2 linked regions of the Oryctolagus cuniculus genome follow. The protein of the gene in region 1 interacts with the protein of each later gene in a pairwise test. Links are inferred from orthologs where the notes say so. Each region holds a gene or a part of one and is shown in the gene's direction. Other genes may lie near its edges.

Region 1 (4,097 bases):
GGCCACCCTGGAAAGGATAGGCAGGCGGGTCACCAGAACCAGCAGTCTGGGGACACACAGAAGGCCTTCGGTGTGCTGGGGGTGGGGAGGAGGGGACCCTGCTGTGTGACTGCTGGCCACTGGGGACAAAGGCTCTGGCTTGAGGGGCTGAAGGAGGAGTATGGCCGGCTGAAAAGGTCACAGAGCACGCACCTTCTGGGCCTGAGGCAGGGCAGACTGCACTGGACGTGACCACACCCGTGGCTGGAATGGAGCCCAGAAACTCCTGGGAGCCTCTTCCTCCCGCAATGGCCCTCCAGCTCTCTCTAAAGGGGAATTCTGTCGGTTGGTTAGTGTTCAGACCCCAGAGGTAACAAATCCAAATCGGACACAAAAGCGCAAAAGTGTTTAAGGGCTTTGGGACACAGATCAGAGAATCTGCCGCGGACGGCCCTGGCCAACCTAACCATTTCAGTTGGATAATGGTAGGATTCTGATCAGCTGTCCCAGTATAGGTCTGTTGCAAACACAGAGTGTAAAGTCTAAGTCCTTGAAAGCACACATCCCAGAACCATTCCTTCACCAGAGTTCTCACCGTTTGGCGGCTTTCCTTCCAGACTGCCAGCAAATAAACATGGTTAACACAGAAAGATGATTTTGCAACTTATTTTCTGACTGTATCCAGGGACCAATATATCCTTCCCAGCCAATACATACAGCCCTCCTAATTAAAAAAAAAATGCTACATTTGGGGTGTGATTCCTTCCTAAAACCGTCCTCGCGACGGTCCTACTTGGAATTTACCCTCCACCGCTACCTCTCCCCCGGGCTCCAAACTACAGCGCCCATTTTGACACACAAAGCCTTTCTAATGGCAGTCCATCTGGTTCCTCCACAGCCCAGCGGGCAACGCCAGCCCAGCCACTCAGGGCCCCGGGGTTCACCAACTCCAGACTCTCCCCTAACTCCTCCCTCAGGCCGCTCGCCGCGGACCCTCTCGCCCAGGATTCTCGTCGTCCCCGCCTCACCCCGCACGCCGACCACGCCCCAGAGCCCGCCCCCCGGAAGCCTGGGCGCCAGCTCTTCCCGCCCCCACTCCCCTCCCCACCGTCTCCGCCTACCCGGAACCACGCAGCCGTCTGCGACCCGGGTCCGCCCACTTCTCCCTGGCTCCACCCTCTCGAAAATCCAGCGTCGTCCTCCCCCGAGCTCCGCCCACTCAGTCCGGACCTTCGCGCGCTGGCAACTTGAGCCGCTTGCCCCGCCCAGGCTCCGCCCACCCCGCCCAGGCTCCGCCACCCGGAAACTGCCCTGGCCGCCTCAGGCTCCACCTACTCCGCTCCGGGAGCGGGCGCTGTGGGCTGCGCGCCGGCTGCTTGCAGCGATTGGCCCACTCGGGCCGCCTCCTGCCCGGGCCGCGGCCCAAGCTAGCCCGCCATGGAGGCGGGGGACTGCCCTGCCGCCGCCGCCGCCTGCTACCAGCCGGCCGGCCCTCCGCGGGACGCCTGTGTCTACAGCAGCTGCTACTGGTGAGGGGGCGCGGACGCAACCCCCGGAACCCCGGAGCGGCGCGGCCCCGCCTCGTTCCGGCCCCTCTCCGGCGGGGTTCGCTGGTTTGCGGGAGGAGGGAGCGTGAATGGCAGGCTTGGTCTCTGGAGTAGAGCTGCGGAGTGCGAAAGGCCAGGCTCGCTGCCTCTGCCCGGCGCCTCTCACCGGACAGGCGTGGCGGAGCTCAGTGCCTGGCGCAGACGCGGGGGGCTGCAGCTCAGAGCTCTGGAAGTTACTCTGCTGACGCCTGCGCGCTGCGGGGCCTAACTTTGGAAAATGGTCGCGGTACAGAGAGTTCGAGGGATTTCTTCTTGAGGTCCTCCAGCTGACAGCCGCTGGGAGTCCGGCTCAGGCTCCTCCGGCGCCGGAACCCACGGTCTTGTTACCGCTCAGCTGTCATTACAGTTAACGTCGGTGACGTGTGCACGGCACCCTGCGTGGTTTTGGGAACAAGCACAGGAACCCCCAGGAGGAGGGCGCTCTAGTTTATCCCCAGACGGAAGAAGCGCAGAGCGGGGCAGGTCATTTGCCTAAAGGGGAATGCGGGTGTCCTGGCGGAGGCTGGCTGTGGGCTCCGGGCACTGCGCCCCGGCCGCCTCTGCAGCTGCAGCACCACCCGCCCGCCCTGTTCATCTCTCACCTTTCTCCCCCTACCCCCCAACCCCGTCTTCCAGTTGCTGACCCTCAGGACCCTCTAAACTACTCCCTAGCCCCTAGCTGGTCGTCTGACTGTTGCTACTGACGGCTTGCCTTTTGTTCCACTCCGGCTGCGTGTCAGGCCCGGTGGCAAGAGCTTCCGTCCATCCCTAGGAAATAGGTTCTACGATTACCATTAGCCCCCCTTTGCTGGTGAGACTGAGCCATCGGGACACTGTTTGCAAGCGGTGGTGGTGCAGCTGGAGCCGCCTGTGTGGTGCTGGAGCCCGCGCGTCTTACCCGCTGCACTCTGTTTCTTCCCTGCCGCTCCTAGATCTCTGTGTTCTCATCCCTACCGTGCATGCATTGCTCCATTCATTCATTCAGTAAACGTTTACTGGGCCTTGGAGTGCGTGATGCATGAATCCAGGCACAGAGGACATAGCAGTGAACAGACTTAAATCCTCCGGTGAGATCTCGTGATTCTTACGTTTCGATGGAGGGAGAACAGTTGAAAACAAGTAAACCATGTTTGCATGGTATTAGAAAAATAAGACAAGGTAGGGGGTGATGATTTATGCTGTCTTATATTAGGATATTTAGGGACATTGCCCATAAAGTGGTTTGAACAGAGGTCTGAAGAAACAGAGGGTAGGAGCTTTGTGGGTACAGGACAAAGTTGATCTCAGACAGAACAGCAGGCGGAAATGTACCCAGAAGGAAGTGTGCTGTGAGCGTTCTGGGACTGTCAAGAAGGCTGGTGCAGATCAGTGTCTCTTTTTAAAAATTTTTTTGGTTAACTTGTAACACATGTTCATTGGTATGGGGTACCATGTAGTATTTTTTTAAGATTTAATTTTTAAATTTTTATTGATTTTTTAAAAGATTTTATTTATTTCTTTGAGAGGTAGAGTTACAGAGAGAAGGAGGGAGAGACAGAGCAAATGGTCTTCCGTCCACTGGTTCACTCCCCAAATGGCTGCAATAGCTGGAGCTGGGCCGATCCAAAGCCAGGAGCCAGGAGCTTCTTTCAGGGCTCCCACGTGAGTGCAGTGGCCCAAGCAGCTGGGCCATCTTCTGCTTTCCCAGGCCATAGTGTAGTCTCATAGTGTCAGGCAGTAGCTTTACCCACTAAGCCACAGTGCTAGCTCCTACACTTCTTTTTTTTTTTTTTTTTAAACTTATTTATTACTTATTAGAAAGGTAGAGTTACAGAGAGGAAGGTCTTCATCTGCTGGTTCACTCTCCAAATGGATGCAGAGGCCAGGGCTGGGCCATGAGACTGGAGCTTCCCCTGGGTCTCCCATATAAGTGCAGGGGCCCAAGCACTTGGGCCGTCTTCCGCTGCTTTCTCAGGCACATCAGCTGGGAGCTGGATCAGAAGAGGAGTAGCTGGGACTAGAACCGGAGTCCATATGGGATGCTGGTGCCACAGGTGGAGGCTTAGCCCACTGCACCCAGCGCCAGCCCATTAGATCAATGTGTCTTTAATAGATCATTTCCTTGAGTTCCTTTAGCCAGAGGCCTGGCCCTTCTCGGCTGTCATGGAGGCTATTCTAGTTGCTTCCTACCAGGCCTTTCAGGCAGACCTCCCCTACCTCAAGTCTTTAACCTTGCTTGGCTCCAGAACCTGCAGATGGGAGGGTGCCACCTCATAAGGCTTGAGTGAGTAAGCAGCATGGTTGGAGAGTACGAGGGCTGGTCTGTTGATTACATTTCAAGGAAGGCAGGCATGGACAATAAAGTGCATCTCCTGAACATAGCAAGCTCTCCAGGGTCTGGTCACTGTTCTTCCAGCCTCATGTTGAACCTGCCATCTGAGCTGTGCTCCAGGGTCCCTCCTTAATATTGGCTCTGTTGAGATTTGGGGCATGATAATTCTTGGCTGTGGGGGCTCTCCTGGGTATTGCAGGATGTGTAGCAGCATCCCTGGC
Region 2 (4,034 bases), on another chromosome or scaffold:
GTGCATTAGTGGGAACCTGGATAGGACTCAGGCCCTCTGATACACTCACCCTCCTGGCACATGTAATTATTTGGGAATTCCAAGTAATTCCACTCTTGAGTTGACTAAGGCATGAAAACCTTCAATCCACAAAGCATCTCAGCCTTTGCTCTCTTCTGTCCCCTATTCTACTCTCAGCACTATCACTGTATTTATCTTCCTGAAAAATAAATTTTGCGGGGCATGCATTGTGGCGAGGCAGGCTAAGCTGACACCTGTGATTCTGGCATCCCACATTGGAGCAACAGTTCCAATTCTGGCTTCTCTCCTTCTGATCCTGCTCCTTGCTAATGTGCCTGGGAAGACGGCAGATGATGGCCCAAGTCCTTGGGTCCCTGCCACCCATGTGGAAGACCCAGATGGTGTTCCTGGCTCCTGGCTTTGGCCTGGCCCACCACTAGCCATGCAGCCATTTGGGGAGTGAACCAGATCATCTAAAGTCTAGAGTCTGAGCTGTCCCTGAGCAAATCCCTTCTTCTCTTCCAGACCCAGAGGATCGAGAAGCCACCAAGGCACCACCCTCACTTTATTTCTTTTCTTTCGTTTCTTTTCTTTTTCTTTTTTAAAGATGTATTTATTTATTTGAAAGAGTTACACCGAGAGAGGAAAGGCAGAGAGAGAGAGAGGTCTTCCATCTGCTGGTTCACTCCCCAGTTCAGTTGGCCCCAACGACCAGAGCTGCGCCGATCGGAAGCCAGGAGCCAAGAACTTCTTCCAGGTCTCCCACGTGGGTGCAGGGGCCCAAGGCCTTGGGCCATCTTCTACTGCTTTCCCAGGCCATAGCAGAGAGCTGGATCGGAAGTGGAGCAGCCAGGTCTCGAGCCGAAGCCAGTATGGGATGCCGGCGCTTCAGGCCAGGGCGTTAACCCAAATGACCGGGAGCCAGGAGCTTCCTCAGGGTCTCCCCTGTGGGTGCAGGGGCCCAAGGACTTGGGCCATCCTCCACTGCTATCCCAGGAGCATTAGGGAGGTGGATCGGAAGTGGAGCAGCCAGGACTCAAACCGCCACCCATGTGGGATAACAGGTGTAGGTCGCGGCTTTGACCTCCCTGCTCCACAGCGCCGCCCTGACCACCCCGACTTTTCTCCGGGGCCACTCGTCCTGAAGCCCAGCCGGAGATGGCCCCGCCCGCAGCCTGGGTTGGCGGACGGAGGCAACGCCCATCTCGTCCGGCCACCTCGGATTGGCGCGGTCGCCGCCAGGGGGCGGAACAGGGCCGGGCGACCGCTGACGCCACCAGGTCCAGAAAAGCCCCGCGGGGCTGCTGGCTGGAGAGGACTGCGTGGCCAGCCGACGGTGAGTGCGCGGCGGCCGCCCGGGCGGGACAGGCGGGACTTGCGGGAGCGGAGGCCCGTGGCGCGCGCAGGGCGCTGCCCACATCCGCCCTCCCGGGAGCTGCGCTGTGTCCAGGGCAGTGCCCGGAGCCAGGGGCCGGCCGCGCCTGAGGTGAGGTGGGGGGACTCTGCGTGCTGAGCAAGTCCCTTCTCTTCCAGACCCAGAGGCCGAGGCTCCTGAACGAGGAGGAACCGCCCAACATGGCATCGGAGGTGAGTGGGACTCGGGGTCGCTGAGCCTCCGAACCTGCAGACTCGGGGCGCGGGGCCCCTGGGAGCCAGCCAGGGCAGTGAACTGCGCACGGGAGCTCCGCGCGCCAGACCTGCCGCCTGCTGGCCTGGGCGCACCTGCCGGAACCCGGCGCAGCCCGAAACCGGCGCTCGCCGGTAACCCCATCACCGTCTGCCCTCGCTCTCTCCTGGCGCCCCCAAGTGGCTTGTGTGGCAAACCCACCAAGCCACACTGCTGGGGGACAGTGAGCCAGAGCGGAGCCTACAGGGCTGCCAGGCAGGCCGGGAAAGATGCTGCCCACTCAGGCAGTCCCCTCTGCCTCTTCGTTTCTTCTTCCCCTTGTTCTGTCAGTCCCCACCCTGCACTGCCACAGCAGCCGTCCCCGTGCATAGAAAAAGGCCCAGCCCTTAAAGTGCCCTTGTCCCTGACTCTGGCATATGCAAGGAGCCAGGAGGTAAGGGACTCCCCTGACCCCTGCTGAGGCCCTGGTGGCCCCAGTGGTCTCAGGGCCTGGTTCTTACCTGTCCCGCTGACCTCTCCTCCTTAGAGGCCAGGGCTCCTGGCTTCTCACCCGGACCACTGAGTGGCAGGAGTCTGGGGCACATGCTGCCTTCCTTGGACCTCAGTTGATTTATCTGGCAAATGGGAATAATAATAGTAGTCTGCCTCCCTCTGTAAGGTGCCGGATCATGAGGTCATTGCTTTGAACCCTCGGGTAGAAGGGTCGGTCTGCCTGAGGCTGAGGAAGGGAACTTGGACTTGTGAAGCAGGAGGTCTGGTTTCAGTCCCTTCTGGCCCCTATTAATTAGCTGACAAATCACTTCCTCTCTCTGCGTGCATCTGAATAAACAGGGTAAGAAGGCCTCCCCTGCCAGCGCCTGTTTCATGGTGCAGGGCTTGGGGCAGGGCCTGGACTTTGGAGCCAAACAGACCTGGTGTCTGTCCCAAAGTCACTGCGGCTCTCCTCTTTCTTCATTTGTAAAGAGGAAGTTGTGGCGCCCACCCCCCAGGAGGATGCAACACAGGAGTGCGTCAAAGAGTTCGTGGGACATGGAATCAAAGATAAGTTTATTTGGTGTGGAAGGTATTGAAACCCGTGCCTGGGAGAGTCTTCACAAAGCTCATGGGAAAAATGCATCCCATGAAGAAACTATGTATGGATTTAACCATGTGCACATCAAAATAAACTTACCTTTTAATTCCATTTTGCCACGAATTTTTCCAAGTGGCCTTGTGGCATATGTAGCATCTCTAGCACAGGGCCAAGAAATACTCAATAAAATGCTGGCAATAAGCAGCAACAGGACTGATGCTTCCCTTGTTCATTCAACTCAGCTCAACTCAGTACCCTTGCCCCAGAGAGATCTTTCTGGACCGGATGACTCCTGGCAATGCTGTCTCCCCAGCACCTCACTCCAACCTCCTCCTGGGATCCTTTTAAGGCTACCAGTGAGGGGGCAGCTGAGTCTTAGAGTGCAGAGGCTGCCCTCAGTGACCTCAGCTTGCCCCAGGCCAGCCTGTGGGTTGGTGCTAATTGGTTTGGCTGCAGCCCACTCATTAAGTAGTAGTTGTTGTTATTATGAACAACTCAGGCACGGGAGCCCCAGGAGCCTGCTAGGCAAGGCGGTGCCTGGTTGCTGGCTGAGGAGCCTGCTGGCACTCCCAATTGTGATTGACTGGCCTGGCCTTCTGCCTCCAGCGGCCAGACCCAGGTCCCACACGATGCTTTGCTGGAGATCAAGGCTTGACAGAGCAGCTGCGGTGTCAGGGGTGGGCCCAGTTTAAAAGGCTGAGGGAGGCAGAGGCTCTCTCTGCAGGGCAGAGTCCATTGGCAACAGGCTGTTGGACTCAGGGATATGGGGGCGGGGGTTCAGCTCACAGCACTGTGGAGGCCCAGAGGTGCCACTAGAATCCACCCTGGCCCTCACTCAGTACTGGCTACCATTACTGAGTCCCCAGCTGAGTGCAGGTGAAGTGTAACCCGGTCGCTTCCAAAAGACCCGTGGAAAAACGAGATTAGATTAATTGATTTTGGTGCAAACCCAATTGAAATCCATGCATATAGAGGATCTTCAAAAAGTTCTTTGAAAATACATAGTATGAAAGCAACTGCCTGGATCTCAAAGTTTGTTGTTTTTTTTTTTTTTACACCAAAATGTATCTTTTTATTCCATTTTTGTGAACTTGTTGAGGTACTCTCAGAGGCATGCACTCTGCCAGCGTTATCTGATTGAATGTTCAACAACAGACCTATCAGAGAGGATTGTGATTGTCTCTCTCTTTTTTTTTAAAAGAAAAAGATTTATTGATTTTACTTGAAATTCAGAGTTACACAGAGAGAGCAGAGGCAGAGAGAGAGGTCTTCCATCCGCTGGTTCACTCCCCAGTTGGCCGCAACAGCCAGAGCTGAGCTGATCTGAAGCCAGAA

Evidence for each region. The genes of interacting proteins can lie anywhere in the genome.
Region 2: the proteins of NTAQ1 (region 1) and ASL interact in binary tests that used the Homo sapiens proteins (3 or more experiments, as listed by UniProt). The two-hybrid records come from large-scale screens. The link is inferred for Oryctolagus cuniculus from reciprocal best matches to the Homo sapiens genes NTAQ1 and ASL.

What each region holds. Positions count from the first base shown.
Region 1 is NC_091437.1:149,130,731-149,134,827, forward strand, and holds the start of NTAQ1 (protein N-terminal glutamine amidohydrolase), read left to right. Parts: upstream 1-1,292; 5' UTR 1,293-1,416; coding exon 1,417-1,508; intron 1,509-4,097. Other genes in the region: ATAD2 (ATPase family AAA domain-containing protein 2), read right to left, coding at 193-305, 575-615. UniProt on the Homo sapiens protein: Mediates the side-chain deamidation of N-terminal glutamine residues to glutamate, an important step in N-end rule pathway of protein degradation.
Region 2 is NC_091450.1:66,174,354-66,178,387, reverse strand, and holds the start of ASL (argininosuccinate lyase), read left to right. Parts: upstream 1-1,233; 5' UTR 1,234-1,336; intron 1,337-1,533; 5' UTR 1,534-1,575; coding exon 1,576-1,587; intron 1,588-4,034.